Linked DNA regions of Lonchura striata. The protein of the gene in region 1 purifies or fractionates together with the protein of each later gene. This does not show direct contact. Links are inferred from orthologs where the notes say so. Each region holds a gene or a part of one and is shown on either strand. Other genes may lie near its edges.

Region 1 (16,441 bases):
CCCAGAACCCACCAGGGACCCCCAAACTCACCAAAGACCCCCCCCAGGGAACCCCCAGAACCCACTGAGGACCCCCCAAGGGACCCTCAGAACCCCCAAAAGCCGCCCAAACTCACCGGGGACCCCCCAAAAGCCCCCCAGACTCCCCCAGAACCAACTGGGCCTCGCTGCTGAGGGGGGCAACGCCCTCCCAGCACCCCCAACCTTCCCCATGACCCCCCAAAATCCTCCCGGCCACCACCACGTTTTGGGGACCCCCAAAAAAAACAGGACACCCCCCCAAAAAAACCACGAAACCCAGCCCAAAAACCATGATACCTCCAAAAAAACCACAAAACCCCTAAAAAAACCACATCCCCCCAAAAAAACATGAAAGCCCCCAAAAAACCATGACAACCCCCAAAAAAACCCATGATACCCCAAAAAAAACCACGCCACCACCCCTAAAACCACAACGCCCCCAAAAAAAGCCACAATACCCCCCTAAAAACCACGCCACCCCCCAAAAAACCACGACACCCCCAAAAAAACCCACGACATCCCAAAAAAAAATGAAAACCCCAAAATCCACTACACCCCCCGAAAAAAACCACGAAACCCCCCCAAAAAGCCACAACACCCTCCAAAAAAACTACAACACCCCCCCAAAAAAACACGAAACCACCCCAAAAACCACCCAAAAAACCTGCAAACCCCCCAAAAAAACCAGGACACCCCCAAAAAACAACGGCACCCGCACTCCGTCCGTCCATCCTTTATTCCCCGGCGCTCCTCGGGGGCTCACCCCCATCCTCGGGGGGCTCCAGCGCCGCGGCCCCGGGGGTCCCCGCGCCCAGCCGGGGGGCGGGGGTCCCTCGGGGGGCTCGGCCCCGCTCCCGGTGAGGCGGAAGAGCACCGGGACCCGGCCCAGGGCAGGATTGTGCCGCTGCAGCGCCGCCAGCCACCGGCCCAGCGTGCGCCGGTCCCCCGCGCCCGCCACGCACAGCGCCAGCACCGGGCCCTCCTCCACTGCGGACAGCGGGGTCAGGGGGAGCCCCGAAAAATCCTCCCGCGACCCCCCAAAATCCCCCCGGGGCTCACCTCTGTCCACCTGGAAATCCTCGTCGTCCCAGGGGCCGCGCTCCAGCTCCAGCTCCAGGCGCAGCGGGAAGTAAAAACTGCGCTCGGGGTCCGGCGGGGGGTCCTGGGGGTTTGGGGAGGGGGTTTTGGGGGGTTTTTTGGGGGGTTTGGGGTCGTCTTCCCACGCAGGTCATGGAGGGGCCCCGGGTGTGTTGGGTTTTGGGGGGCCCGTCCTACCTGTCCTGGAGTTCCCCAGGAGCCCCCCAGGAACTCCCAGTAACCCCCAGAGCCCCTCGGGAACCCCCAGAGCCCCCGGGAACCCCCCAAAAACCCCCAGGACCCCCCAAAACCCCCCACTACCCCCTCATGACCCTCCAGAGCCCCCCCAGAACCCCGCAGAACCCCCCAGAACCTTCCAGGACCCCCCAGAACCCCCTCAGGACCCTCCAGAGCCACTCCAGAGGCCCCCCAGGACCCCCCAAAACCCCCCACTACCCCCTCAGGTCCCTCCAGAACCCCCCAGAACCTCCCAGGACCCCCCAGAACCCCCTCAGGACCCTCCAGAGCCACTCCAGAGGCCCCCCAGGACCCCCCAAAACCCCCTCACGACCCCCCAAAACCCCCCAGGACCCTCCAGAGGCCCCCCAGGACCCCCCAAAACCCCCCGGACCCCCTCAGGACCCTCCAGAGCCCCCCCAGAACCCCACAGGACCCCCCAAAACCCCCTCAGGACCCCCCAGAGCCCCCTCACGACCCCCCAAAACCCCCTCAGGACCCCACAAACCCTTCAGGACCTCCTCAGGACCCTCCAGGGCCCCCCCAGAGCCCCCTCAGGACTCCCTCAGGGTCCCCCAAAACCCCCGAAGTACCCCCGAGGAGCCCCCCAGGACCCCCGACGAGCCCCTCAGGATCCCCCAGAACCCCCCAGGACCCTCCAGAACCCCCTCAGGAACCCCCAGAGCCCCCCAGGACCCCCCGGGCCCCCCGGCTGACCCTGAGGTGGGGGGGCAGGGGGTCTCCCCGCAGCACAAAGTATTTGAGGAGGGTCCCGCGGAGCCAGAGCGGGAACGGCCCCTCCACGAACACCGGGCGGGTGGGGCCGTGCCGGGCCAGCAGCTCCCGCTGCTCGGGGCTCTGCGAGCCTGGGGACACGGGGACACGGCTGGGGACACGGGGACATGGCTGGGGACACGGCTGGGGACACGGGGATACGGCTGGGGACACGGGGGGACGGCTGGGGACACGGCTGGGGACACGGGGGACACGGGGACACGGCTGGGGACACGGGGACATGGCTGGGGACACAGGGACATGGCTGGGGACACGGGGGACACGGGGGCACGGCTGGGGACACGGGGGACGGCTGGGGACACGGCTGGGGACACGGGGGCACGGCTGGGGACACGGCTGGGGACACGGCTGGGGACACGGCTGGGGACACGGGGGCACGGCTGGGGACACAGGGGACACGGGGGCACGGCTGGGGACACGGGGACATGGCTGGGGACACGGCTGGGGACACGGGGATACGGCTGGGGACACGGGGACACGGCTGGGGACACGGGGGGACGGCTGGGGACACGGGGGACACGGGGGACAGCCCACCCCACAGTCTGGCACCCCAAACCCTGCCCCACACAACCCCAAACCCACCCCAGGGACCTCAGACCCAACCTAGGCACCCTAAACCCTCCCCCAAACCCCTCATAGAAACCCCCAGGGACCCCAAACCCTGCCTCAAACCCACCCCAGGGACCTCAGACCCACCCCAGGGACCCCAGACTCTGCCCCACACCCACCCCAGGAACCCCACACCCACCCCAGGAATCCCAAATCCTTCACAGAGACCCCTGAGGAGCCCCACACCCACCCCAGGCACCCCAAACCCACCCCAGGAACCCCAACCCCCTCAAACCCAACACCAACCCCCCGTCCAGGGCACCCCAACATCCCCCCAGGCCCCTCGAGACCCCCGGAGCTCACTGAGGATGTAGGGCTGGACGGAGCCTTCATCGTCCCCCGACTCCGGCACCGGCCGCTGCGGGACGGGGACAGGGGGTCACTGCAGGGCCACCCCTGTCCCCCCACCCTGTCCCCATGTCCCCTGTGTCCCCAGTCCTGTCCCTGTCACCCCAGTCCTGTCCCTGTCCCCTCAGCCGTGTCCCTGTACCCCCTGCCCCCCAAGCCGTGTCCCCCCATGTCCCCAGCCCTGTCCCCCCAGCTGTGTCCCTGTCCTCCCTGTCCCCCCAGCCCCATCCCCCCGTGTCCCCAGCCCTGTCCCTGTCCTCCCCTGTCCCCCCAGCCATGTCCCCATGTCCCCAGCCCTGTCCCCTTGTCCCCCGTGTCTCCAGCCCTGTCCCCAGCCCTGTCCCCAGTGTCCCCCAACCCTGTCCCCAGTATCCCCAGCTGTGTCCCCCCATGTCCCCAGCCTTGTCCCCGTGTCCCCAGCCCTGTCCCAGTGTCCCCAGTGTCCCCAGCCCTGTCCCCATGTCCCCAATGTCCCCAGCCCTGTCCCAATGTCCCCAATGTCCCCAGCCCTGTCCCAGTGTCCCCAGTGTCCCCAGCCCTGTCACAGTGTCCCCAGTGTCCCCAGCCCTGTCCCCATGTCCCCAATGTCCCCAGCCCTGTCCCCAGCCCTGTCCCCAGTGTCCCCCAACCCTGTCCCCAGTGTCCCCAGCCGTGTCCCCCCATGTCCCCAGCCCTGTCTCCATCCCCCAGCCCTGTCCCCGTGTCCCCAGTGTACCCAATGTCCCCAGTGTCCCCAGCCGTGTCCCCAGCCCTGTCCCCAGTGTCCCCAGCCCTGTCCCCAGTATCCCCAGCCGTGTCCCCAGTATCCCCAGCCCTGTCCCCCCAGTGTCCCCAGCCCTGTCCCAGTGTCCCCAGCCGTGTCCCCGTGTCCCCAGCCGTGTCCCCAGCCCACCTGGACGAGGGTGACGGTGGCGCCGGGCTCGGTGGCGATGCGCTGCAGCCCGAGGCGCGCGGCCGCCAGCCCGGGGCGCAGCCGGGGCGGCAGCGGGTGGGGGTCCAGGTGCCGCAGGCGCGGCAGCCAGAACTGCATCCGCTGCAGCTTCCGCAGCGGGCGGCTGCGCGGCCCGAACACCCCCAGCAGCAGGAAGCGCGTCTCGGCGTCGGGCATCACGCCTGGGGACAGGGGACACGGGGACATTGGGGACACGGGGACAGCGGGGACACATTGGGGCATGGGGGGCATTGGATATTGGGGACAGCAGAGAAATTGGGGACACACTGGGGACATTGGGGACAGGAGGGACATTGGGGTGACAGCAGCAGGATGTGCGTCTCAGCGTTGGGCATCACGCCTGGGGACAGGGGACAGCAGGGACGTTGGGGACACGGGGACAGTGGGGACATTGGGGACACTGGGGACATGGAGACAGTGCGGAAACATTGGGGACACTGAGGACAGCAGGGCATTGGGGCATGGGGGGCATTGGGGACACTCTGGGGACATTGGGGTGACAGCAGCAGGAAGCGCGTCTCGGCGTCGGGTATCACGCCTGGGGACAGTGGGGACACCATGTGAGGGACACCAGGGGACACCGGGGCACACCACACAAGTGACACCGGGGCACACTGGGGCACACCAGGCACACCACACCAGTCACACCAGGGCACACCGGGACACACCGGGGCACACCGGGACACACCGGGGCACACCGGGGCACACCAGGCACACCACACCAGTCACACCAGGGCACACCGGGACACACCAGGACACACCGGGGCACACCGGGACACACCGGGGCACACCGGGGCACACCAGGCACACCACACCAGTCACACCAGGGCACACCGGGACACACCGGGGCACACTGGGACACACCACGAGTGACACCAGGACACACCGGGACACACCAGGACACACCACACAAGTCACACCAGGGCACAACAGGACACACCAGGACACACCGGGACACACCAGGACACACCGGGGCACACCGGGGCACACCACACGAGTGACACCAGGACACACCGGGGCAGACCAGGACACACCAGGACACACCAGGACACACTGGGACACACTGGGACACACTGGGACACAGCAGGACACACCGGGGCACACCACACGAGTGACACCAGGACACACTGGGGCAGACCAGGACACACCAGGACACACTGGGACACAGCAGGACACACCGAGGCACACCGGGGCACACCAGGACACACCGGGGCACACCACACGAGTGACACCAGGACACACCGGGACACACCAGGACACACCGGGGCACACTGGGGCACACCACACGAGTGACACCGGGACACACCGGGACACACCGGGGCACACCAGCACGCACCGTGGCGCTCCATGCACTCGAGCAGGCGCAGGCCGCACTCCTGCTGCCGCGGGAAGGGGAAGAGCAGGCGCTGCACGGCTCCGCGCGGCACCCAGGCCCCGCGCGGCAGCAGCCGCAGCAGCGCCTTGTAGGCGGCCAGGCTGCGCCCGGCCCCGCGCGCCGGCAGCGCCGCCAGCGCCGCCTCCACCAGCGCCAGCCGGCCACCGCGCCCCGGCGGGCTCCGCGCCAGCTCCTCCAGCGCCGCCGTGAACGCCGCGCCGGGGTCGCCGGGGTCGCCGGGGTCGCCGTGGGCATCACGGTCACCGGCGGCGTCGCCGTGGGCGTCCTCGCGGCGCGATCTGTAGGAGCGCAGGTGGCGCAGAGGGGCCTTGGGGGTGGCACCCCCTGAGGTGGCGCCCCCTGAAGTGGCACCCCAGGTGTCACCTGTTGAGGTGTCACCCCCTGAGGTGTCACCCCTCGAGGTGTCACCCCATGAAGTGTCACCCCTTGAGGTGGCTCTCCCTGAGGTGGCACCCCCTGAAGTGTCACCCCAGGTGTCACCTGTTGAGGTGGCACCCCTTGAGGTGTCACCCCTTGAGGTGGCACCCCCTAAGGTGGCACCCCCTGAGGTGTCACTCCTTGAAGTGTCACCCCAGAAGGTGTCACCCCTTGAGGTGGTTCTCCCTGAGGTGTCACCCCCTGAGGTGTCACCCCACAAGGTGTCACCCCCTGAGGTGTCACCCCCCACGGGGCTCTGGGGGTGGCCCCGGGGCTGGGGGTCGTTCTCCCAGATCTTGTGGAAGCGGCGATGCCACTCTGAGGTCCTCGGGGTGTCACCCCCCGAGGTGCCACCCCCCGAGGTGTCACCCCCCGAGGTGTCACCCCCAGAGGTGTCACCCCCAGAGGTGCCACCCTCCGCGGGGGGCACACGTGCAGGGCGCTGGCACAAGCTCCGGCACAGCTGGGGAGGAAAAAAGGGGTCACCCCACAGCTGTCCCCATGTCCCCCCATTGTCCCCATGTCCCCATTGTCCCCCCGTGTCCCCATGTCCCCCCATGGCCCCATGTCCCCCCATTGTCCCCGTGTCCCCCCATTGTCCCCCCGTGTCCCCATGTCCCCCCATTGTCCCCATGTCCCCCCATGTCCCCCATTGTCCCCATGTCCCCATTTCTCCCCGTGTCCCCCGTGTCCCCCCATGGCCCCATGTCCCCCCATTGTCCCCATGTCCCCCCATGTCCCCCATTGTCCCCATGTCCCCCCGTGTCCCCCCATGTCCCCATGTCCCCATGTCCCCCCGTGTCTTCCCGTGTCCCCCGTGTCCCCCCATGGCCCCATGTCCCCCCATTGTCCCCATGTCCCCCCATGTCCCCCATTGTCCCCATGTCCCCCCGTGTCCCCCCATGTCCCCATGTCCCCCCGTGTCCCCCCATTGTCCCCATGTCCCCCGTTTCCCCCTGTCCCCACCGCCCCCCCCGTCCCCTCTGTCCCGGTGTTCCCGGTGTCCCCCGCACCTGCGGCGCTGCGGGGCCGCCCCAGAGGCGGCGGGGCAGGGCCCGGAGCCATCCCGGCCGCATGGCGCCCGCTGCCGCCGTGTCCGCTCACGGTGGGACCGTGTCCGCTCCCGGTCCGGCCGTGTCCGCTCCCGCTCGGGCCGTGTCCGCTCACGGTGGGGTCGTGCCCGCTCCCGCTCGGTCGTGTCCGCTTCCGCTCGGGCCGTGTCCGCTCACGGTGGGGTCGTGCCCGCTCCCGCTCGGGTTCCGCTGTGTCCGCTCCCGCTCGGGCCGTGTCCGCTCACGCCCGGGCCGTGCCCGCTCCCGGTCCGGCTCCGCCGTCCCCGTGCCCGGTCGCGCCGCTGGGCGCCGCCATCTTCGCGGTGACCGCGCGCGGCCGGGTCAGGGGGCGGGGCCTGCGGGCGCGGCCAATCGGCGCGCGGCTTCGCGGTGATTGGCAGGCAGCGAGGGGCGGGGCTCGGAGGGGGTTCCCCCGTGACGTCAGAGCGGGACCCCGGGATGAGCGCGGGGACGGGCGGTGACGTCACGGGGGTGAGCGATGACGTCAGAGCGGGTGAACGGGAACGGCAGCCCCGGCGGGGTGGGGGGGGGTCCCCAAGTCCCCGTGGGGGGGTCCCGGGTGCTCCCCCAGCCCCGGGGGGGTCCCGGAGCCGCGGGGGGGGCGGGACGGCCCGGGTGGGGGAGGGGAGGGGAGGGGGACGGGAGGGGGAGGGGGACATTCCCCACCCGTGACGAGCCGTGTCCTCCCCCGGGGGGGCGGCGGAGTCCGATCCGGTGACGGCACCGAGCGGGGGGGGGGCGCGGCGGGGTCGGGCCGCGCTGTCCCGGGGGTCCCGCGGCACCGGGGGGGTCCCGGTGAGCGGGGAAGAGGCCCCCGGTGCCCCGGGGGGGATCCCCAGGCACCGTGGGGGAGCCCCGGTGCCCCCCGGGGGTCCCCGCTCCGGTGGGACCGGGGGGGACACGGGTGTCCGGTGGGAGGGGGCAGAGCGGGCAAGCGCTGATTTGGGGCGGGGGGGGCGTTCCGGGATTCCCCCGCCCCCCCGGCCCCCCCCCCCCAGCTCCGGGATCCCCCCCGGTAAATGTGGAAAAAGTGACGCCATCACCCGCCCCGCCGTGACGTCAGCGCGGCGGAGGCCGCGGATTGGCTGCGGCCGCCCCGGCCCGGGGGGGCTCCGCGCCCACCGCCCACTTTTAAAAGTGGCGGCGGCGCCGGGACGGGACCGGGAGGAACCGACCGAGGGCACCGAGCCGACCCGAGGGCACCGACCCCACCCGGGACAGCCCCGAACCCACCCGGGACAGCCCCGAACCGGCGCCACCCGCCCGCCGCGACCCCACCGGAGCCACCGAGACCCCCCCGGGACCCCCGAAATGTCCAACGCGCACTTCAACCGCGGCCCGGCCTACGGGCTCTCGGCCGAGGTGAAGAACAAGGTGAGCGGCACCGAACCGAACCGAACCGAGCCGAACCGGGGGGGTCCGGGCGGCTCCGGGCAGGTGCGACCCCCCCGGGGCGGCGGCAGCACCGGGCCCGGGCAGGGGTCGCGGCAGGACCCGGCGGGAGCGCGGGCGGGACCCGGCGCTGTCCCTGGTGCTGCCCCGGGAGGGAAGGGACGGACACCGGGACAGGGGGGCGGCACCGGCGTGTCCCCCCCGGGGGTCGTACCGAGCGCCGCTTCACCGGGGGTGCGGCTGGGCTGCCCGGGGAGCTCCGCACTCCCCGTTCCCTCCGGGAAGCGGGAGGTGACCGGCACCGGGTGCCCGGCGGGGGTGAGGGAGGGGAGGGGAGGGGGCGACACCGGGGCTCCCCGCCGTGAGCACCGGGGGGTCCCGCCGTGAGCACCGGGGGGTCCTGCCGGGCACCGGGCCGTTCAGGGTTAACCGGGAGCGGGGGGGGGGGTTGGTCTCCGCAGCCCCCGGTCCCCTCGGCGGGCGGGAGGTGACGGGCACCGGGTGCGCCCCGGGACGGGGGACGGGGACGGCGGCACCGGGGAGCACCGGGGGCTCCCGCCGGTGTGCGGCCCGTTAAGGGTTAACCCGGAGTGGGCTCGGCGGACCGGGGGAGCCCCGCCGACCGCCGAGCCCGCGGCGGGCGGGAGGTGACGGTCACCGAGCTGAAGCGGCGGCGACACCGGAACCCCCACCGGGACTGAGGAGGCCACGGGGCGACACCGGAACGGAGCGGGCGGACCCCGGGACGCCCCCCACGAGCACCGGGTGGCGTCCCGCCGGTGTCCGCCCCGTTAAGGGTTAACGGGGGCGGTTCGGGTGGCCCGGGGGGGCCCCGCGGCGGGCGGGAGATACCGGACACGGCGGGGGGATGGACACGGCGGGGGGGGGGTCCCGCCGCGCACCGGCCCGTTAAGGGTTAACGGGGGGGGATCGGCGGCCCGGGGGGGGCCCGGCGGCCCCCGGCCCCGCCGTGAGCCCTTATAAGGCGGCGGAGCGCGGCGGGCGGGCGGCGGCGGCCCCGGGCCGGGGCTATATATGGGCAAAGGTTCGGCCGGCCCGGTCGCCCGCGGCTCCCGGGGGGGCCGGGCGGGGCGGGGGGGGGTCCGGGCTCCCCCGGCCCTCCCGGCTCCCTCCGGCCCCGCGGGAACGGGGGAACCGGGGCCAGCGGGGATCCCGCGTCCCCAGTGCGGCCGCCGCCTCTTCCCTGAGGGTGTCCCCGCCTTGGGGTGTCCCCAGTGTCCCCTCCTTGGGGTGTCTCCAACGTCACATCCTTGGGGTGTCCCCACTGTCACCTCCTTAGGGTGTCCCCTCCTTGGGGTGTCCCCATTGTCCCTCCTTGGGGTGTCCCCACGTTCCCCGTCTGTGTCCCCGTGCCGGTGTCCCCGTGTCCCCCGCGGTGTCCCCGCACCCTCCGTGGCCTCGGCGCAATGTCCCCCGTGTCCCCTCGTCCCCGTGAGGGTGTCCCCGACATTCTCCGTGCCACCACGTCCCCCTGGCGGAGTCCCCCTGTCCCCCCGACGGTGTCCCCGTGTCCCGTGTCCCCTGTCCCCGTGTCCCCTGTCCCCATGTCCCGTGTCCCCGTGTCCCCATGTCCCGTGTCCCCCCGGCGGTGTCCCCATGTCCCGTGTCCCGTGTCCCCATGTCCCGTGTCCCCCCGGCGATGTCCCCATGTCCCGTGTCCCTGTCCCCGCAGCTGGCCCAGAAGTACGACCCGCAGCACGAGCGGGAGCTCCGTGCCTGGATCGAGGGGACCACGGGGCGCCGGATCGGGGACAACTTCATGGACGGGCTCAAGGACGGCGTCATCCTCTGCGAGTACGACCCCGTGCGACCCCCGGGACCCCGTGCGACCCCCGGGACCCCCACCGGGACCCCGTTCAACCCCCGGGACCCCGCTGGAACCCCCGGGACCCCGTGCGACCCCCGGGACCCCGCTGGGACCCCGGCTGTGTCCCCGGCTCTGTCCCCGCGGGCTGGGACCGGCCCCGGTCCGGAGGGTGAATTTTAACCCATTCCTCACCCGGGCTGACCCCGAGCCTGCTGAGCACAGCCCCCCAACCCCGCCGTGCCTGTCCCCCACACCCCGCTCCTGGCCGGGCTCTGGGGTCACCCAGGGGTCACCCAGGGGTCACCCAGGGGTCACCCCGGGGTCACTCTGGGGTCACCCCCTGACCCCACCCGTGCTCGGCCCCTCCAGGCTCATCAACAAACTGCAGCCGGGCTCGGTGCCCAAGGTGAACGAACCCGTCCAGAACTGGCACAAGGTGAGGGGACCCCCCAAAACCGGGGCTGGGGGCGGCTCTGGGGGGGAGGATCTGACCCCGAACCCCGCCCCGACTCCCCCCGCCCGCAGCTGGAGAACATCGGGAACTTCCTGAGGGCCATCACGCGCTACGGGGTGAAGCCCCACGACATCTTTGAGGCCAACGACCTCTTCGAGAACACCAACCACACCCAGGTCCAGTCCACGCTCATCGCCCTCGCCAGCCAGGTCAGCTCCCGGGGGTCCTGGGGGGGGCCGGGGGTCCGGGGGGCTCCTGGGGGTCCTCGTGTCCCCTCAGAGGACACCGGCCACACGCTGGGGGGGATCCAGAGCGGGGATTTGGGGTCTGGAGAGGAGATTTGGGGTCTGGGGAGGGGGTTTGGGGTCCAAGGAGGGGATTTGGGTCCAGGGAGGGTATTTGGGGTCTGAGAAGGGGATTTGGGGTCTAGAGAGGGGATTTGGGGTCCAAGGAGGGGATTTGGAGTCTGAGGGAAGAATCTGGGGTCCAGGGAGGGTATTTGCAGCCTGGGGAGGGGATTTGGGGTCCAGAAAGGGGATTTGGGGTCCAAGGAGGGGATTTGGGGTCTGGGGAAGGTGTTTGGGGTCCAGAGAGGGGATTTGGGGTCCAAGGAGGGGATTTGGAGTCTGGGGGAAGAATCTGGGGTCCAGGGAGGGGATTTGGGGTGTAGGGAAGGAATTTGGGGTCTGGGGAAGGAATTTGGAGTCCAAGGAGGGGATTTGGGGTCCGGGGAGTGGATTTGGGGTCCGGGGGTCCCCGTGAGGCCCCCCCCCAAGCCCACGGTCTCCGCCAGGCCAAGACAAAGGGGAACAAGGTGGGGCTGGGGGTGAAATACGCCGAGAAGCAGCAGCGGCGCTTCCACCCCGAGAAGCTGCGCGAGGGCAGGAACATCATCGGGCTGCAGGTGACACCCGGGGACGCTGGGGGGACACGGGGGGGGCGTGCTGGGGACAGCTGGTGACACCGTGGCCGTCGCTGTCCCCAGATGGGCACCAACAAGTTCGCCAGCCAGCAGGGCATGACGGCGTACGGGACACGGCGGCACCTGTACGACCCCAAACTGGGCACGGACCAGCCCCTGGACCAGGCCACCATCAGCCTCCAGATGGGCACCAACAAAGGCGCCAGCCAGGTGGGGACACGGGGACACTGCCAGCATGGGGGGACACGGGGACACTGCCACTCCATGGGGACACTGCCAGCATGGGGGACACGGGGACATGGGGACACTGCCACTCCACAGGGACACTGCCAGCATGGGGGGACATGGGGACATGGGGACACTGCCAGCACAGGGGACACTGCCACTCCATGGGGACACTGCCAGCACGGGGGACACGGGGACACTACCACTCCACGGGGACAGTGCCATCCTACAGGGACATTGCCACCATGGGGGGACACTGCCACCCCATGGGGACACTGCCACCCTACAGGGACATTGCCACCATGGGGGGACACTGCCACCGCATGGGGACACAGGGAGAGATGGCACCAGGGGACTTGGATGTCCCGGGTTAGGGGGACAAAGGGAGCGGAGAGCCCGCGGGCAGCGGGGACAGACAGAGCCGGGGACCCTGAGGTGCCACCGGCCCGGCCGGTGGCCCAGGCAGCCCCGGGGACAGCGGAGCAGGGGACAAAGGGGCTCTGAGGGGGGCACAGAGGGACTCTGGGGACAGGGAGGGGACAGACACCCTGCGGGCAGCACGGGGAGCAGAACGGAGGAACCCCCGAGCATCCCCCCACAGCCCCGGGGTGGCTGTGAGCCCCTCGGGGTGCCCGCGGCCACCGCCCGAGCCGGTCCCTGACCGGAGCCGGTTCCTGCCCCGAGCCCGTTCCTGACTGGAGCCAGTTCCTGCCCTGATCCCATCCCTGCCCCGAGCCCGTCCCCGTCCCGATCCCGTCCCTGCCCCGATCCCGTCCCTGCCCCGATCCCGTCCCTGACCGGAGCCCGTTCCCGCCGGCCAGGCGGGGATGACGGCGCCGGGGACGAAGCGGCAGATCTTCGAGCCGGCGCTGGGCATGGAGCACTGCGACACGCTGACCATCGGGCTGCAGATGGGCAGCAACAAGGGCGCCTCGCAGCAGGGCATGACGGTGTACGGCCTGCCGCGCCAGGTCTACGACCCCAAGTACTGCGGCGGCCCCGAGCTGCTGGGCCACGACGGCCTCGACGGCCACGACGGCCTCTACAACTCCCAGTAGCCGCCGGCCCGCGGCCGCTTGCACCCCAACACCGCTCGTCACCGGCCTCACCGCGCCCCGCCGAGCCGCCACCGGGGCTGGCACCGGGGGCACCGGCCCCGGGATCGGCTCCAGGATCGGCCCCGGGGGCACCGGCCCCGGGATCGGCTCCAGGATCGGCCCCGGGGAAACCAACCCCGGGATCGGCTCCAGGATCAGCCCCGGGGGAACCGGCCCCGGGGCTGGCACTGGGGGAAACCGGCCCCGGGATCAGCTCTGGGATCGATCTCAGGGGAAACCGGCACCGAAATCGGCCCTGGGGCTGGCACCGGGGGGACCGGCCCCGTGGCTAGCACTGAGGCTGGCACCGGGGGAAACCGGCCCTGGGATCGGCCCCGGGGTTGGCACTGGGGGAAACTGTCCCCGGGATCAGCTCTGGGATCGATCGCAGGGGAACCGACCCCGGGGCTGGCACCGGGGGGACCGGCCCCGGGGGAAACCGGCCCTGGAATCCACCCCAGAATCGATCTCAGGGGAAAACGGCCCCAGGATCGGCCCTGGGGGAAACCAGCCCCGGGATTGCCCCAGGGGAAACCGGCCCCGGGATTAATCCCAGGGGAAACCGGCCCCGGGATCGGCCCCGCGATGGCTCCCGGGGTGGGGGGGCAGCACTCGGCACCGGCCCCGGTGGGACAATCCCGGGACCGGCCCCGGGCGGGGCCAGGGCTGGGCTGGCCCCGGGTTCAGTCCCGGGATCACCCCCGGGTTTGGTCCCCGGTTCGGCCCCGGGGGGTTCGGGCCCCGCCACGTGTGAAGCCACCGAGGCACAATAAAAGCCACACGCAGAGGTGACAGCGCCGTGGGACCGTGCTGGGGGACACCGGGGGACACCGGGGGACACCGGGGGGACACCGGGGCGGCGGGGATGGGGTGGACAATGGGGGACAAAGGGACAGGGAGGACCAGGGCCACCACTCGGGGCATTTATTCCGGGGCCGCTGTCCCCAAACGCGTCGCCCCCCGCCCCGGTGTCCCCACGGGGACGAGGACAAGTGCCGGACGCGGGGGGAGGGGGGGATGCCACCCCCGCACCGGCTCCGGGGCTGTCACCGGGCCCGGGGGGGGGTCCCTGACCCCGCCGGGAGTTTGGGGAGCGGGCGGTGTCCCCGCCGCCCCCCCGGGGTCACTGGTTGGCGGCTTCGCAGGCGTCGATCCAGTCACTGTAAACGTCCACGGGCTCCGACAGGTCTGGCGGCGCCGTTAAGGCTCCAACACCGACTCGGGGGGTCCCGGAGGGGTCCCGGGGGTGTCCCGAGGGGGGTCCCGGTAAGGATACAGGTGATGGGGGTCTGGAACTCCTCCAGGCACACGGTGCACGAGATCACCCCGGTGTTCCGGGCGCGGTCCCTGCGAGGCACGGGACGGGCGTGACCCCTCCGGGCTCCGTCCCGATCCCCCCCGCCACACTCCCGGTGTCCCCTCGCCCGGTGTCCCCTCCGCGGTACCGGCACCCCCGCCCGGTGTCCTCGTCCATGTCTCCGCTCTCCGCTTCCCCCCCGGGTTTCTCCGTCGTTCTTCCCGCGCTGCCGCCCATCCCCGTGTCCCGTCCCCGGTGCCCCCCGGTGTCCCCCCGGTGCCCGGTGTCCCGCGCTCACATCTTGACGTCGCAGGACTTCTCGTGGTTGCAGAAGGGACACGTGAACTGCGTCTCCAGCGTCCCCGTCATCTTCTTCTTGGGCGGCGGCTTTCGCTTCGACTTGCGGCGGCCCATGGCGGCCGCACCGGAGCCCAGAACCGGGAACGGCCTCGGGAAGGGGAACCACACCGGGATCGGCCCCGGGAGCCGGCTCGGAGTGGCCCCGACCCGCTGCGGGACGTGCCGAGGACGGCTGGACCCTCCCCCGGTGCCCCCCGGTGCCCCCCGGTCCCTCCCGGTCCTCACGCCGCGCTCCCGCCGCGATCCCGGAAGTGCCGCCCCTCCGCCCTCAGCCAATCAGCGGCGGGAACGGCGCGCTCTTCCCCACGTGACCCGAAAACGCCCCGCTCATTGGTTGATAAGAACAGCGCCCCAGCCAATCACCAGCGGCGAACCGAGAGACTCTGTCCCGCCCACTCAGTGAGTGATGGACGCGCATTTCAGCCAATCAACGGGTGGGAGGCGTGGCCAGCCCTGCCGGACCCCGCCCATCGCGGTTTTGGGGTGAATCGCGGTGGTTTCGGGTCCGGCGGCGCCCTTCAAAGCCTTTATTGGCGGCACGGGGCAACCGGGCGGGGCCGGCGGGCAGTGTCCGGTCCCCGGTGTCCCCAAGGGGTCAGAGTTGACGGGATGTCCCCGAAGGCAGCGGTGCCGGTGTCCCCCGGGGGGACTCGGCGGTCTCGGGGCGTCCCCAGGGAGGGGTCCCGGTGTTCCCGATGTCCCCAGGGAACGGATCCCGGTGTCCCCGCGTCCCGCTGTCCTGGTGTCCCCACTGTCCCCGCTGTCCAGATGTCCCGCTCTCCGGGTGTCCCGCTCTCCCGGTGTCTCGCTGTCCCCGCTCTCCGCTGTCCCGGTGTCCTGCTGTCCCGGTGTCCCGCTCTCCCGGTGTCCCCGTGCCCCGCTCTCCGCTCTCCCGCTGTCCCCGCTCTCCGCTGTCCCGGTGTCCCGCTCTCCCGGTGTCCCCCTGCCCCGCTCTCCCGCTCTCCCGCTGTCCCGGTGCCCCGCTGTCCCGCCGTCCCCGGTCCCGGTCACGGGTGGCGCGGCGGCAGCGTGACGCGGTGCAGGACGCGCCCGGTGGCCTCCAGGAAGGTGACGGTGGCGGCGGCGGGCTCCAGGCGCACGTGGGCGAAGCCGCCGGGGCTGGCGGCGCTCCCGTAGAAGAACCGGAGGGCGCCGGGGGGCACCGAGCCCGCGTGGGGCTGCGAGTCCTCCATGAAGTTGCCGGCGCCGCTCAGGACGTAGCCCACGCCCCCCTCCTCCAGGTACTGCGGGGAGACACCGGGGGGTCTGGGGCTCCCCGAGCACCCTTGGGTGTCCCCGAGCACCTTTGGGTGTCCCTGCACAGCTTTGGTGTCCCTGAACAGCGTTGGGTGTCCCTGAACAGTTTTGGTGTCCCTGCACCCCCGGCCATCCCTCACCTGGCACATCTGGCTGTGCCTCACCTGGCACACCTGGCACCCAACCATCCCTCCCCTGGCACCCCTGGCACCCCCAGCCCTCCCTCCCCTGACACCCCTGGCACCCCCGGCCCTCCCTCCCCTGTCACCCTGGTACCCTGGCACCCCCGGCCCTCCCTCCCCTGGCACCCCTGGCACCCTGGCACCCGGCCCTCGCACCCCTGGCACCCCTGGCACCCTGGTACCCCCTGTCACCCGGCCCTCGCACCCCTGGCACCCCTGGCACCCTGGTACCCCCTGTCACCCGGCCCTCGCACCCCTGGCACCCCCAGCCATCCCTTCCCTGGCACCCTGGCACCCCATCACCCGGCCCTCTCACCCCTGGCACCCCTGGCACCCTGGCACCCCATCACCCGGCCCTCGCATCCCTGGCACCCCTGGCACCCCGGCACCCCATCACCCGGCCCTCCCTCCGCTGGCACCCTGGCACCCCATCACCCGGCCCTCGCACCCCTGGCACCCCATCACCCGGCCCTCGCACCCCTGGCACCCCTGGCACCCGGCC
Region 2 (15,757 bases), on another chromosome or scaffold:
AAGATTTCAGTCATACTGAGCCTGGATTGCCTAAGGAGAGAAGAGAGAGTGAAAAGCAATTTAATGCCTGCATTCTCCTGACAGAGACATGAGTGCAGAATCCAAGCTCTTGAAAATTTCTTCTAGAACTAGTGAGTTTCAGTAATTCACATGACCAGTGTCATGACCTTTTTTCCCACAAGCCTTCAGCTATCCTCCTTTCCTCACTTTAATAGGGATGGAAAGAAGGCAGCAATAAAGGAAAAGACCGGGAAGACTAAATCAGCATTTCTAAGACTGGTATGTGAACAACACCAACAACCAAGAGAAGAACTGAGGTTTAGAAAACCTAGTGTGTCATGGTTTCTCTAAATGTTTGAACCCACAGGCCCAGATACCCTCGCAGTCCACGACTGAAGGGACAGAGCTGCTCCTCACCACTCTGCCAGCTTCTGCTCATGCAGCTCCCTGCGCTCACGACTCCTCTTCTCCTGCAAGGTCTCACCAGCCAAGCCATACATGGCCATGAGGAGGCCTCCTGCAGGAACCCTGAAGGAGGAAGCAGAGAAATCACCAGTCACCCAGGGGACACACAACAGCAATAACTTACTGGCATCAGCAGAAAGAGCAAGCAGGGGCCTAAAACTCACATCACACCACAAACTAAGGTACTCCTGTTCTCCTGTCACCCACCAAGAACAGCCTTTCTTCAGCTGTGACCCACCAGAGCCCTGCTGATAGCATATTTTGAATTTACTCATTGACAGGCACACACAGGACAAAGGAGTGGAAGGATTTATGGTTCCCAGTGCAGACCCTGTAGAACACCTAAACCATATCTCAGACAGTGACACCCCTGCTCAGCTTCCATCCAGTTCTGGAAGTACTTGTGTTCTCACTGGTAAAGCTCCCTAGGCTGCTTTCTGGCATGCTCACAGCTGACACCATCCTGATGGTGCCAAGCAGCACAAATAACTCATTCTCTTTTTCAGGTAGGATCCTCAGATTTACTTGTGAGGATATTTACAGGTCAGAACTTTGAGAAGAAATCCCAGTCCTGCTTGAAAAGTCAGATTTCTTCTGAGTTAGAGGTCTAGAAGCACAGAGCCTCTGAAACAGAACCTTGGGATCCTCCATGCCCCAGGAACTTCAGGAGATTCATGACTGCAAGACACACATGAAGACACACACAGAGACACGTGTCACCTTACAGCCCAGCCATGCATCTACTCCATCCCTACTCCCTGTTTCCTAATGGCTGCTACTTCCCATTTGAGCTTTGGTGGAGCTTATGTTGTTCCCTCTAATAAGCAAACAGCAGCAAATAAGATGGTCTGCTGAAAGGACTGAGCTCTCACTACTGAGAGAGCAGCAAAACACAAAACAAGAAACATAGAAGAAAAGAAGAACAATTAAAAGGTTGGGAGAAAAGTGATCACCATGAGGGATACAGAAAATCCCTCAAGGCAAGAGAAGAAGGGAAGCTCCTGTAGCCCCTCTGTGACTCCAGGCTCAGTGTGTGCAGCAGTCACAACTCACCCAAATGCTGTTCCAAACACGATGCCACCCACCAGGCCCTGCAGGCCCAAGTGCATCCTGAACAGGGCTCCTGTGAAGCCTAAAAGAAGAACAAACCCACTGAAACTAGAAACAGCCTTGCCACAGACATTCAAACCAACATAGGAAGTTGCTTTGTTGCATTTCTCTTCTCCACGAGCTGACAGCTGCTTTTAACAGAGCAGAAACCAAGTGCCATGGCCAGTGGGACAGACCTTCACCACACAGTCACCATGGTCTCTGCACTGAAACTGCACAAAGCTCCTTCTGCTTCAGAAAAACTGCCAAACTTTTTCCCATATCATAGATGTATCTATGAAAGTGAAACCAAGCTCTCTGTAGGCTGGAGCATGATCTCCCTCACCCTTTTTTCTGTTCAACAACAGCTAATAATAGCAGCTGCCATGTAAGGCAGAAAGGATCAGTAAAAAGTGTATCCAGCTGTACAGGCAATAAAGCCTGTAAAACTTAACAAGCAGATCACTTACCCTGTTGCCAAAAGTGGGCATGCAAAACTTAGCATAGAAAGGGCAGCCTATAAACAGTGTGCTGGATTGTTACCAAGAGTGGAAATAAAAAAGGCTTTCCCTGTTAAATAGGTGCTTATGTGAACAGGTTATGCACCAAGTGTTGCCTTTACCCCACAGAAGCATTTTTCACCCAAAATACTCCAGCAAGTATCTTGAAGATGAACTAAGAACCACAAAACTCCCCAATGGTTTCAGCAGTGCATCGGTATCTGTGTTACAAATAAAGGCACGCAGCAGGCAAACAACAGAGCAAAGTCAGTGGAACAAGCAGCAAAACCCAAGAGCACAGAAGCTGCTCAATCCCAAGGGATGTGGATACTTGCTTATGCTTTTCTGCTACAACCCTTGCTAACAAACAGGAGCACACAAGGTTACAGCACTCTTACCTCCTGCTGCAGCAAAATTACTGATGGTGGTTTTATCGCGGTACGCAGACAGGCCCGTGCTCACCACGCTGCAAAGGCAAGGCACAGAAGTCAGCAGTGCACATGGAAAAAGAGAGGTAGCAAAACACAGCCTGAAATAAAGCTGGATTTCGTTAAGCCAGCCCTCAGGTTGCCCATCTGTTCAGGGCACCCCACTCCAGCCATGACTTCTCTGACTTTACTGTGGGCAGCTGCACAGACACAGGTCAGGGAATATCAGAGTTCCTGAACTGGATCTGAGATACTCTTTCTTTTTTTTAATCAAAGATTTTTCTTTCCTATCATATAGAATCAAAGAATCAGAATGGTTTAGTTTGGACATGATGTTAAAGATCATCCAGTTCCAAGCCCTCACTGCAGGCAGGGGCACCTTCCACCTGGAGCAGGTTGCCCAGAGCTCCATTCAGCCTGGCCTTGAATACCTCCAGGGATGGGGCATCCACAGCTTCTCTGAACTACCTGTTCTACTGCCTAGGACCATGTAATACAGTCAAGGAGAAAAGAATTTGAGCAATGAAAAGGTCCCATCAGTCAGCCAGTCCTGATGTAGGACATTTACCCCAGAAGCTGCTCCATGTGTCAGTAAGATCCTGCCCTGTAAACAGTCCCCAATACAACAGCCTATGTCACACTCATGACATCAGCAGGGTCACCTACTCTTGTGGCATCAGATTTCCCTCTGGGGTAGGTAAACCAACTCCTCCTAAACATCAGCTAAGCCTCAAAACAGTCTGCTCTCAGTTCAGCAGCCACATACTCCCCAGCCTCCTGTGTGACATTGACAAGCCAGCAGCAATCCTCCTCTCCTTCCCAACACAGATAAACCCAAACATTTTGGGTTTTAATTGTGAAACTTAAAGTTTTCACAACTGCAGGATGGAATTTGCAACTTGGGCTTTACAGAAATGATGCTGAGCAGCAAATAGCTTTGTTCAGAACCTTTCCAAAGGGGCTGATCTGACTGCAGAGGAGACACCTGGTGGAAGACAACAAGGTAACATGTCAAACCCAAAGAAATCCAGAAAACCCAAAGAAATCAAGAGCTCCAGGAGAGAAAGCAAACAGCACACTAACTAAGCCTAAAAACAGATACTAAACTAAAAGGAGCCACAGACATCAAGAGACAGTGAGGAAGAAATTCAGAAAGGAACAAAAAAAAATTAGGGAGATAGAAATATAAAATCATGCCAGTCAATATTGTGGGATCTTAAAAGCAGAAGGAGAACTTAAACAGAACATATCTGCAGAGAGAGTCAATGCAGGTTTAAATTTACAAATTTAGTAGTCTGAACAACAGGGAAGGAGATATTTCTAGTTTAAAAGGGCTTTGCTCAGAAGACGACACTTAGTTTGATGTTCTACTGCCAGAAATGCACTGCAACATCCAAGGAAGAAAATCAGGGAAGCAGAACACTCTCTGCATTGGCTTTGTGTGTGTAGAAAAATCCTGAAGGCCTAACAGGTACATAGAAGCAGTAGATCTGATATTCAGCAACTGCTCAAGAACAAGACAATCCCCTGCAAATGCCTGAGGACAAGAACAAAGAATTGTAACACCAGTGTATACAAAGTAGTAGTAGTGACAATTGTGAGTACCACCAGCGTATACAAACCAGGAGCAATGAGACATTGTAGGAAGGACAAAAATCAGTGTGGGTTAGAAAGCACTTCCAAAAACTGCCAACACACTTTAACACTCCCTCAGATTAAAAGCACATAAAGAGATGAAGGAAAAGCAGAAAGCAGCTGTCAAGAAAGAAAAGCATGCAACTCAGTAACAGATGTACAAAAAGGGCTTTTCCACATTTCAGATTTGTGTTGATTCATTAGAAGATGAGAATTCTGAGGCAATTCTAAAAGGTTAAACTCTCTTCATGCTCCTGCCTGATCAACCAGACTCAGGTCAAGGTAACAGCAGGAGCCTCAATCAAAGGCCAGAGCTGTGGGCACTGCTGGCAGGGACAAGGACAAGGACAAGGACAAGCACCAGCACAGGGCAGCTCTGCTGCCCCACATCAGGGAACACTCACTTGAACATGGTGGCGAAAGCCGCGACCCTCCAGCTCCAGCGCCAGCCGTAGCGGATGAAGCTGCGGAGACCAGCGCGGTGTGCAGATTGCTGAGGGGACAGAGAGGACATGTCACAGCTAACAGCCCCTCCTCCTGCCAGCACCCTGCAGGCCAGCCCAGGGGACCAATGTCTCCTGCCGCTGGTACCCCAGCTCCGATCAAGTCAGCCACCTTTGGAGGAAAAGCTGCTCCCAGCCACCAACGGGAAAACCAAGAATCAGTTCCAGTTTGGAATGTCAACTGGTCTTTCTAATCCTGCTGCTGAAACACGTCTGGGTGGACTGGGAGGGCTCTTCAAGGACAGGACAGCAGCAGAGGAGAAAGAGAAAAACTAGAAACTACTTCATATAGAAAGTAGTTTCTACAATAGTAGTAAGTAAATAATAACCATCTGCGTTAAATATTAAGGTATCATCAAGCTCTGCAGTTTAACACTGGCACTTAAAAGTTTGGAAAGAAGAGTTTTTTTTAAAATAAGTGGTAAACAGAGGCTTCATAAAATTTAAAAATGTTGCACTGAATACCATGAAAGTAAATAAATTTTCTCTTCCAGTGTTTGTGGTGTAGGTTCTTAGCCTGGGTCAGATATACCAGTCACCAGAGCGGAGCCAGGCAGTGGCAATTTGCAGGTCACCACATCAGAGGCCAAATTTTGTAAGTAATACAAAATTAACATCAGGCAGATTTTTAAAAAGGTTTTCTTCCTCATATTCCACGTAACCAACACTTTAATTGAATAACAAACACCTAGAAGTTCAAATACATCTACAAAATGTCACAAGTGTTCTTTGTTGTGCTGTTCTTCTAAAAGAATTTTAAATGGTCTAAAAATGACTCACATTAATAAGACAAGAGTACAATCCCAGTTTGATACTGTGAAGTCTCCTGTCAGCAGACTAAAACGCAAAAGCAGAAAGCCATTTCGAGACGTATTAATCAGCCACTTAAGAGAATGGTAAACTTTGTTACCAACCTTCCCTGTGATGAACGACGCTTTTCTGAAGCTAATTTGCAATTTGGCTAACGGGGAACCCTAATTCCTGCTAATTCCCGCAGCGGATGACCTGCACGGACTCACACACTCCCAGCAAACTTTCTGTGCCAGACCCGCACACGCGTCCCCCCGGCCCGAGCCCGGCCCCGGCCCCGCCCGAGCCCGGCACCGCCGTGCGCCCCGGCCGCAGCCCCGGGCCCGTACCACGGCATCGGCGCGGTTCTGGAACATCTCGCCGTGGCTGCTCTCGATGAAGGCCTTGCGGGCGCTGACGAAGGCGGGCAGCCCCCCGTACAGCCAGCCCACCACGCCCGCCGTGAACGCCGCCTTGGCGATGTTCACCGTCTCCTCCGGCAACTGCTGCCGCTCGCTGCAAGGCAAGGGCGGCGATGGGCGCGGGGTGGGCACGGCGGGACCGCCACCACCCAGCCCCGCCCGTCCCGCCCCGTCCCGCCCGAGCCCGGCCCGGCGCTCACTCTCGCCGCCAGAGCTCGCGGAGCCGCTCCCAGCCCGTCTGCGGCAGCGGCGCGGGGCCGAAGCCCGCCCGGGCTCCGGGCAGATCCGCCATGGCCGAGCCCGCGGCGGCGGCGGCAGCGCCCCCTGCGCCCCGGCGGGGCACTGCGAGGACGGCTCGGGACCGCTCGGAACCGCTCGGAACGGCTCGGAACAGCTCGGGACCGCTCGGAACGGCTCGGCTCTGCGTTAGTCACTGATGAACAACTCCGAGTGTTTGCCCCTTTGTGCAGGGCCGGGTTTGTTCCCCACAGCGAGAGAGGAGCTGAGTTCTGGGGGCTGTGGTGCCCGGTTTGCATAGGACAGAGGGGGAGCAACCCCCGGGCAAAGCCTGCGTGGAGAGATGGCGCCACTCATGGGGCTCACTGCCTTTCCTGAAACACCTCTGTTGTGAATTCTTCCTTTCACCAAAGAAGTGAAAGCTCCCCACCAGGAGAGGTGCCTGGGCCTTCCCACCGGGCTTGTGCATATTTTAACCCATGATTCTTGAATTCCCGGGATTCTTCCCCCACTCCTGAAGAATCATCACTTTGGCCAAGGGCCACCTAAGCTGCAACAATCAAGTGTCATCGCAAGATCTATGGGTGGAAAAGCTGGGGCTCTGCAGACCTCCTATCACTCTTCTGATGAAGAAAATGCATCCAACAAAACTTCATTTTTTGTTTTATTCCAAAAAGCCCTTCATTACAAATGGTTTTAAAATATCATACAGAGATGTTCGGTTTCTTGGAGTGCTGTCTCTCTGTTGGCTAAAAATAGAAAACCAGAAAACCCCTTCCACTCTGGCACAACTTTCCTGGGAAACCAGGTTAATGCCCCATTCTGTTTCCTTTGCTGGATGAAATAACCCCAGCACTGGTCCCAAAACCAACACACTGCCCCAGCAACCAGCACTTGATCAATAGTGCAGCTGCTATGTCCCTGTGCCAGGGCTGCAAGGCCTCTGCGAGGGCACACATTAAATGTTATTGTTCCATGCAATTTCCTTCTTCCCTGATACACACTGACTGCAGAGGGCCTGAGAGCTGTTGCTATCATCCTCTTCCATTATAATGTGCTGCTCTCTCAGCCTTGAGGCTGCTTTACCAACAAGGAGGCTCCCCTGGGAGGCTCCTGTGTCCCTCCTGGCACCCCACACTCTTCCTGTCTGGGTGCCAGAGAAGATGCTGCTGCCTCCAGCCTCTTATCTTAGGGGGCACAGAGCATTTCAGGAATTGCAGTCCTTAGCCAAGAGGCTGTGGTGGGCATAAACACAGCGAGCACAATCAGCCTGTGAGCAACTCAAAATGGGTAATGTGAGCAGTAGCTGCTACTGTGTGACTGAAGACATTCCCTCAACCAGGCTGAAGGAGATGAAAAAAGAAGTGGCACAGATGTGGGGAAGAAAAGCAAGTAGTAAAGTGAGCAGATGTATTACCAGTCTCAAAAAAAAAAAGGCCACCCCCCCCCCAAAAAAAAAACAAAAACAAAAAAAAAAAACCAAACCAAAAAAAAAAAAACAAACACTTAAAATAATCCTGGAAAGATTACAGAAGGGGATCAGAGCAGACTCTGCACTTCTGGAAAAAGGAAGTGCTGAATCTACCTCAGTGAATACTTTCTCTGGGTTCCTAAGGATGACATCCCAGGATGTCTGGCCAGGCAGCTGGTGAGAGATAATTAACAGGGGCTCAGTTGTGCAGGGCTGTGCAGGCACCCAGCTCATCTGCTGGAGGAAGAATCTCTGTCTCAGTTGCCAAGCACATCACTGGTGATGGCCCCATCACCACCGTATGCTGATCCCCTGTGAGGTAGGTAGGGTAACTCTGCAAGGATCAGTTATCCTCCAAGGGCATGTCAAAACCTTACCATCGACCTCTAAAACCCAACATAAACCCTAAGCTACCCAGAAAGTTATATAGCCCCAAATCCCAGTACCTGCGTTTGTCAGAGAACACCTAATACCCCAAGTGCTATCACCCAGCTGAGAAAACATTTGCCAAACAAAGGGGCAAGTATTTACTAGCTGAGTGCAGCTCAGCCTGTGTCCTTTGCCATGACCTTTGGTAATAAGTCCACTAAGGCTTCTCATCGACTGAATGGGATTTAGGATCATTTTGAGACAGGTAGTAACTAAGTCCTAAATGCTAACATCCCTCCTCTAGGCATGACTGACCACCCCATTAGTCTTAATCCAATATGCTGCTTAACATTCTTGAGGTGACAATATAACCAGGTCCCAGTGCAGTTCTACTGTGAAAGGTAAGTCTGAGAGAGCAAGAAATAATACTGATCTTCAGATTTCCACAGTGACCAGTTTGAGCCAGAGAGAAAAACAGAGAAGTCTCTACAGTTCTGTTTTCAGCTGTCCAGAAGTGATCTCGCTGTAGCTTTTCCTCCTTTTCACTTTGTAAGTCAAGATCTGGGAATATTCAGACAGCAGATGCTCCCAGTAGCAAGAGATGTCCTCCATCTCCAAGTGCTCAGTGATGAACTGACGTCCCCTAGAGACACACAAGTCACAGTCAGGACTGTTTTCCAGTTCCTACAAGAGTCATTAGTTTTGGTTTGGATGTATATCAACTTTCGCATTTCCTTGTTTCAAATGAGAAACAACACACACTGCTCTGTACTGTCTGTTTTAATTTTACAATTTTCATTCATGCTCACAGCTCTGACGGCTGCAGTGCTTTTGCTATCCTCAGGACGGTATTTGCTATCTGGGATAATAAATATCAGATTCCACTTATCACATGCAACTAGAGCAGCCCTGATGCATGCTGCTTCAGAGCAGCCTGGATAGATAATGTTTACAGCGCAGACACAGCTCCCAGGAGCCAGCTTGTGTCATACTGAGATGAAAGCTCCCAACCTCTGCCAGCTTTCCATGGGGTTCCTGACATGGGTCACATGTGAACTGAAGAGCTAAGCACAGCATCCTGCTCTCTGCTTCCCTCTGCTTGCTATCACTGCTCCAGCCCTCCTACTCTTATTGCAGAAGATCAGTTATACTGCACCCTACTAATACTGGTTGTCTTTGATGGGCAACCCCTTCAAAAGCAGTGTAAGACAATGTTTTAGAAGAAGACTGCCTAATAGCCAGGAAGCACATACTGCTTACCTCTCTGAAATTTCTTGTGCTATGGCATCGTTTTCCTTTACAAACTGCAAGAGCTCCCTAAAATGAAGACACATACACAGAAAAAAAAAAAAAAAGCTATGAAACAACTGGCTCAGTGGAGAACATAATCCCTTAGCTAAATTGTTGGGGAGGGTGAGGTTAAGAGTCTACAAGTGAGTGAAAGAGCTGCTCACCTCAGCACAGAAGCAACTTCTCTGCTTGATTGTTTCACATCACTTCTGGACAACTTCCTGAAATCTGGGAGCTAACACATTTTTGGCCCACTGGTTAAGTTCTTCTCCCCCCTTATCACTGTTGCCCACTTGCAAATTTAAGTGTCTAGTGCCTGCTGATTTCAGTGAGAGTGAGAATCTTACTCCAGTGTAACTGCACTCCCCAAATCAGCAAAGGATTCTCTGGGGGTAGTGATGAAAAGACCATGACCTCCAAAAATCTTTGCCTGATGCCTCAGAGTGGAGGCACTTCATGGCCTAACACAAACCATCCCACCTTCCCAAAGGCTTCCCCATGGTATGCAATGCTCCATGCAGTGGCCTCAGGCCCCACACCTGACGTCAGAGAGGTCTGACCGCACCGGGATGTAGTGGAGCCAAGGCTTCAGCTGGGGGTAGAAGAACTCCAACCACTCCTCTCCGACATGGAAGACGAGTGAGCCGCACAGGAAAAGGTGCTTCAAGCGGAAACTGGCCGCCACTCCCCGGAAATTAAACAGGTACCTTTGAAAGGAAGAGCAAAGAGAGGGACCTGATCACACATCCTGTGTGAGGAAATGCACTAAGGTGTGCTGGTCTCCAAGGAGCGGTGAACCTTCCCTGACAGGCAGCAGCTGAGCAGCACACCAGTCACTAAAACAGAGGAAAGGCATTTATTTGAAGCTGCTCACAGGAAAGGTGAGCTGAAGTTAAGGGTGTGCTGGGTGAGTTTCTGCTGTCAAAACTCACTGAGAAATTCAAGGTGTGAGGCTTTACCTCTGATAAAGGCACTGTCTGTGACAAACCAATGAGGCCTTGTGGACAATTGCCAGCAAAGCATGGAAGATCACAATATGGATTCCGTGACCCTATGGGGTCACTCAGAGGCTTTATCAACCACAAGGAAATTCTTTCCAATTCTCTCTTGCCTTTCAGTGAAGTTTTTCTGTTCATCATTGTGCTTTGCCACATCTATCTCAGGTTATTTTTTCCTCTGGGATTCTGCTTTAATCTGAATGTAATTGTTTCATAGTAACTTGGGAATGCAACCATAGGAGGTTAAATGGGCCAGCATACAACAGATGGACTTTGCAGATAACGAAGAATCCAAAAGTTTGTTTTCAGTATTTTCTGCCAAGTTAGAAAAGTGGGCTTGACTGTGGCAAGGGGGTATTTCTCTTAGCAAACTGTATCTCATAGGGATGTTTCTTTGCTTACTTGTTTTCTTGATCAAACCCACATTTCTTCTATTATATAGAAAGCTGTTTTTCCTACGGGTAAACCTCCCCAGAACATATACTGATCTTTGAAGTTAAACATTTTGAGCCGGGGGAAGAGAGTTCTTCCTTTAATGAAGCTATTTTGGGTGGAGCTTATATATTAGATATATTTAGGGCAAGATGGGAATTACAGCTAAACTTAGCACAGCAGTAAATAACAAGGAGTAAATCTGAAATTACTTTGCATCCTTTGTACTACCTAGGATTTCAAAACAAGGACAAGGAGCACACTGTATTAGGAACTCAACAAATACATGTAGAGATGCAACAAGAATGATGGCCTGGAAGCAAGCAATTACCTTTGCCCAATTCCAGACACAGCTCCCACCATCCATGACCTCAGCCAAGCCAGCCTGCTGTAACACCTACACTGAAAGCAGCAGACAAAAGTTGGTGTTGACCCTACCTCCCTGAGCTACAACAAAAGTGTGTGAGAAGGTCTCAGCCTACACCATATGATGGGCTGGGGAGCGACAGAGTTGGGCGGTGTACGTGTAACAGAAGGGAGAAATCTGTGCTACAGTCTAGTGAAATACAAAATAAGACAAGTCAATCACATTTGCACAAAAACACAGATTCAGCCAAATGACTGAGCTCTTATATCAGCAGATCCTGGCTGGCTGAATGACAACTAGCAGAAGAAAAAGCAAAACATCTTATACACAAGTGCACACACACTAAGAGTTTATATTGTAAATGGAAACCTGTAAGTGTTACACCAAAAAACCCTCATTAAGTAGTTAAAGAATAAAAACCTTTGTAAATCAAAACCACATTCTCCTAAACAACATAAAAAGTATGAATTAATACTAGGTGTGCTCAATCAGATTTCAGGTTCTCTCTTTTACTATATACACCCAGTGGCAGCACTTGTCATGCTAAACTCACAAATTTTCAACTGTCTTATATCTGCTCACAAGCTTTCATATCTACATGAAGCTGGTTGTTGAATTAGACCTTAAAATAAAATGAGACCCTATACCATGCAAGGAAAGACTAACCCACAGCCCTTGAAAAGCTTTACTAATCAAAACTCTTACTTGTATTTGCAGTGATCAACCAGTGGAATTTCCTTTGCAGGAGGCTTTCCTAAGGTATCCTTAAAATAAAGAGAAATTAAAACCAAAACAAAACAGTAAGCTTCAAATAATGATTTAACTTGTTTTCCTTCTCAGTTAGAAACAAAGGTGATGTGTCAAAACCTTCCATTCCCACTTCTGAGAAAACCTTCTCTGGTGGGCTGTTAGAAGGATTATAAAGAATTCCCAGCCCTTCAAACATGAAAAAAAGCTCAGTAAATTACACACTGCCTGTAAGTGAATGCCAGCACAAACACATTAAATGATAATGTTTTGTTGGCAGCTACAGAGTGGAAAACAGCTTGGGACAATGAACTGTGTGAAGCCAAGTGTAACTGGATTAGCCAAGACTGTCTGGAGAGAGCTGGACTGTAGACTAAGTAAGAAACGAAAAAGTTATCAGCAACAGTTATCACAAAGTTATCCACAATGAGATCAAGAAATGGAGAAAACAGAAAAAGGCTTGAAGACTGACAACACCAGAGAGGCGGCTCAGAGACAGAAGGGGAAGGGTTGGCCAATTTTGTTGTTGTGGGAGAGGAGGAGATTGGCAGAGATTCATTTTCTTATGTGTTTTCCTTTCCTTGAACAACAAGCATGGAAGGAAGTGTTTGGCCTGCCAGGCTCTAGAGACTCTTTTCTTTCATCTGTTAGAGGTGCAGCCATCAAGGAACTACAAACCTCCCCCACTCTAAAGGATCACCCACAACTCTCCAACAAGATGTTTGTCTCCCATCAAAGCCATCTTGCAATGCCACCTTTTCTGGCCTTCACACTCAGAAGACAGACTAACACCCACACACCTTTTCAGATTTCCAAGCCTGGTTTTTAGTGTACTCAGCATCAACAAGTTCTGGGTTTTCTCGGGACAGCAGGATGAGGGGATCTCTCTCAGGGCTTGTTCTGAAAAAGAAACGTTATCACTACTTGCTAATCCCCATGACTCAACACAGCTAACAGACTACAGGACTTGAGGCACTGCTTCTTTCTGAGGCTGACCTCCCTGTGTGCCCCCAAAACACTATGAAGTGTGTACCACAGTGTATTTCTGCCCAAGGGTATATTAACAGAAGAAAATGAGTTATGGGTACCAGAAGTATTTGACTGACTACATATTTAACAGTATTATTTAAACAATTCCCAAGACAAATCCTGCTTCCTTTATCCTGAAGGGTGCCAAATACTCTGACTCCCACCTAAGTCAGAGAGAGTTAAGAGATGCTCAGTATCTTCAGCAGTGATCCCTCTAACAGGACTTTAAAACACTGCTGATAAACAAGGTTATTACATCCTTGTGAGACATTCCCCATCACCTGCTGAGCCTACCTGGAAAGCCACCAAATCCTTCCCTATTGGGGAAGGGGAAGAAACAAAGTGTGGAGCTTAGCATTGTTTCAAACTACCACTGGAGAAAGGTCAAAAAAAATATTCTCTTATCTCCCACTACTTGGGTAACTTAGGGCCAGAATACTTTTCATTCAGTGTGGAGCACTGGCAGAGCAAATAAAGCATTCATATTGGCAGGATGCATGAATAGCAATACTAAATCTTTAAATTTGTATCAAGCACCTGCAGTTCCCTTCACAGAACAAAACAAGTGGGCTCCTGAGGTGACAGTTTTAGTCATTAAGAAATAATGTGGCAAATCTATCACAACTTCTGTTTCCAGTATTAGGTGATTAAAATAAACTAGTTGCAAATGGCAGTTCTTCTGGAGAATAACTAATAGTGCAATACTGTATAACATGTCTCACTTTCCTTACTTTTGGAAAATACACTGTGAGGTGCACTTAATTAGAGTTTAGGTCTAGGAGACATGGAAATTTCTACATATAGAGAGCTGTCACAGCCCCTGTTGGTAGAATCTTCTGTTGCAGGAAAAAAATGCTCACCTGGATCCTCGGAAATATCCCTTAGAGATTTTTTTCTTCCATGGCCATTTTTCTGCAGATCTGAAAATATTTTTTATACATGGTAATAAATTATTTAATATAACCATGAAACAACACTCTCATCAGCTTTCACAGCATGATGTCTTCTTCTATTCTTCATTTTTGATGGAAATAACTTTCTTCATTATAGCACACAAAAACTCTCAGCCAGGTCCAATGAAACAGGTTTTCCTGTAAATATTGTGTTTCAGGCAACCTAATACAGACTACTTTCCAGAACACCTTTCAGGCAAAACAATGTATTACACACAGCTCCCTACCAAACCTTGAAGAGTATTAAAAGTTTACCTAATCCACTTCTTGTGCTGTGGCTTTATTTTGCTATAGTTCACTGAATATGGATAGTGAAAAAATGACTACAGAGTTTCTAATCAGTCATTTCCCACTACAAAACAAAAACTACCAATCAAGAAACAAAAAACACACGTAGTGTTTTGCACTTAAAGCACAAGAGTTCATTGTTTTTATTATTCACTTTCATTTTAAATCAAATCAAGTCCTTCAAGATAGCTGTTCACCTAGGGTTTTTTTCTGCCAGTGCAGTCACCTGCCTCACCACTTCTCAGGGGAACTCTGCCATATTTTTCTACTGCACCTGGTGGAACATGCAGGTCCTTACCCTCAAGCTGATCTGCCTGTGCAGGTCAAGTTTTGCTTTTCCTTATAGTGAAAACACAAGCTTTGCACCTCCATTACACTACAACACATTAAGCTTTAGCTATGAATAATCATGTGGATCTTCAGATTTTGAAGAATGAAAGATTCAACCTTGCATTTGGACGTCAATTACATAGAAGTATTTTATTGATATTTTGTTTCTGTGTTCACTCACTGTTGCATACTTGCTTTGTCACTTTCCATGGGAATCAGCCCCTTACTCTGCTAATAAATCAAAACATCCTGCCAAAAGGAAGACCTCCAGCCAGATATGTCTTCTGTTTAGCCCAGTGGTGACTTTTGATTCCTAGGAATGATTCCGGGTTTTTGTATTGCACAATGACACTAAAGTAAAAGCAGATCTAAAGAAGGCTTTCCTTTAGCCTTCCAATAGCTTATACAAACATCCTGGATCATCCCTGCAGTAAAAAAACCACAGCTCCTAGAGAAGTAGTTGAAAAGAAAGAAAAATATTTCTGTATGTCAGGGGAGATTTCTGCAGGCAAAAGATAACTGCTACTTTATTGACAAACCTGCTCTCCCCAAACCTGATAGTAATCTGGCCCTGACAGCATGAAGGATGTGCACAGTTTGTCCTCTGCATTCCTTACTAAAGGGTTGCAAACAGAGGAGCTAATTATAACTTCCAGTGACATCATGCAAGGTTTCCATGGAGAATTCCCATACAGCAGTTAGGCTGTAGGTAGTTAATGTGAGGCAGCAGGACAGATCACAGCCCAACAGACTTATGGTCTTAGACATCAACAGTGGCCCAGTGCAAGATGGAATTTTGTCTTCCATGACACCTCCCCCCACACATAACCATTTCCAAAACATACCTTCTGAGGTCCTCTCTCATGAGGTCCCAGCGCCCTAAACCTGTTGGGTAAATTGGCCAAACAGCTGGTCCTCCTTCCCAAAATGTCCAGGCAGGATACATGATATCATTGTATTCAGAAGTCTTGAGAAAAAGCAGAGTTATGCAAGAATGAGAGTAATATCTACTTTGGTTTACTAACTGAGCCCACCAGTAAATGTTCCTTCTGGGAGTTCTGTTAGCTTTCTCCATTATGTGTCCAAAAGAGGTCAAAAGAGCTTTGGAGACACCATTTGCTGGGCTTACAGAATCACAGAATTATTAGGGTTGGAAGGGACCTGTGGAGATCAGTCAGTCCAACCCCCCTGCCATGGCAGGTCACCTGGAGCAGGTTACACAGAAACACGTCCAGGGGGGGTTCAGAATGTCTCCAGACAGGGAGGCTCCACAACCTCCCTGGGCAGGGCTCATATGAAGACAGCTTGATGCTGAAATGCTTCAATGACTTTAAAAAGGCTTTGTCTTGCTGTGTGATGACACAGGACTTTTATGTAGAAAACAGCAAAAGAGATCCATGATGCAGTTGATTAGT

The links.
Region 2: the proteins of ECSIT (region 1) and TIMMDC1 purify together in Homo sapiens (affinity purification with mass spectrometry; 3 studies listed by BioGRID and IntAct, counting the BioPlex papers as one, with this or other methods). This does not show direct contact. The link is inferred for Lonchura striata from reciprocal best matches to the Homo sapiens genes ECSIT and TIMMDC1.

What each region holds. Positions count from the first base shown.
Region 1 is NC_134623.1:1,326,371-1,342,811, reverse strand, and holds ECSIT (evolutionarily conserved signaling intermediate in Toll pathway, mitochondrial), read right to left. Parts: upstream 6,929-16,441; coding exon 6,866-6,928; intron 6,316-6,865; coding exon 6,096-6,315; intron 5,775-6,095; coding exon 5,376-5,774; intron 4,201-5,375; coding exon 3,980-4,200; intron 3,098-3,979; coding exon 3,043-3,097; intron 2,202-3,042; coding exon 2,053-2,201; intron 1,184-2,052; coding exon 1,081-1,183; intron 1,009-1,080; coding exon 632-1,008; downstream 1-631. Other genes in the region: CNN1 (calponin-1), read left to right, coding at 10,098-10,132, 10,515-10,581, 10,671-10,808, 11,393-11,503, 11,585-11,731, 12,568-12,804; ELOF1 (transcription elongation factor 1 homolog), read right to left, coding at 13,967-14,031, 14,120-14,190, 14,439-14,554.
Region 2 is NC_134604.1:14,292,088-14,307,844, reverse strand, and holds the start of TIMMDC1 (complex I assembly factor TIMMDC1, mitochondrial), read right to left. Parts: upstream 6,143-15,757; 5' UTR 6,124-6,142; coding exon 6,032-6,123; intron 5,926-6,031; coding exon 5,760-5,925; intron 4,611-5,759; coding exon 4,522-4,610; intron 2,521-4,521; coding exon 2,453-2,520; intron 1,598-2,452; coding exon 1,519-1,597; intron 529-1,518; coding exon 418-528; intron 31-417; coding exon 1-30. Other genes in the region: POGLUT1 (protein O-glucosyltransferase 1), read right to left, coding at 8,395-8,551, 9,169-9,225, 9,738-9,905, 11,701-11,759, 12,543-12,642, 13,632-13,691, 15,188-15,309.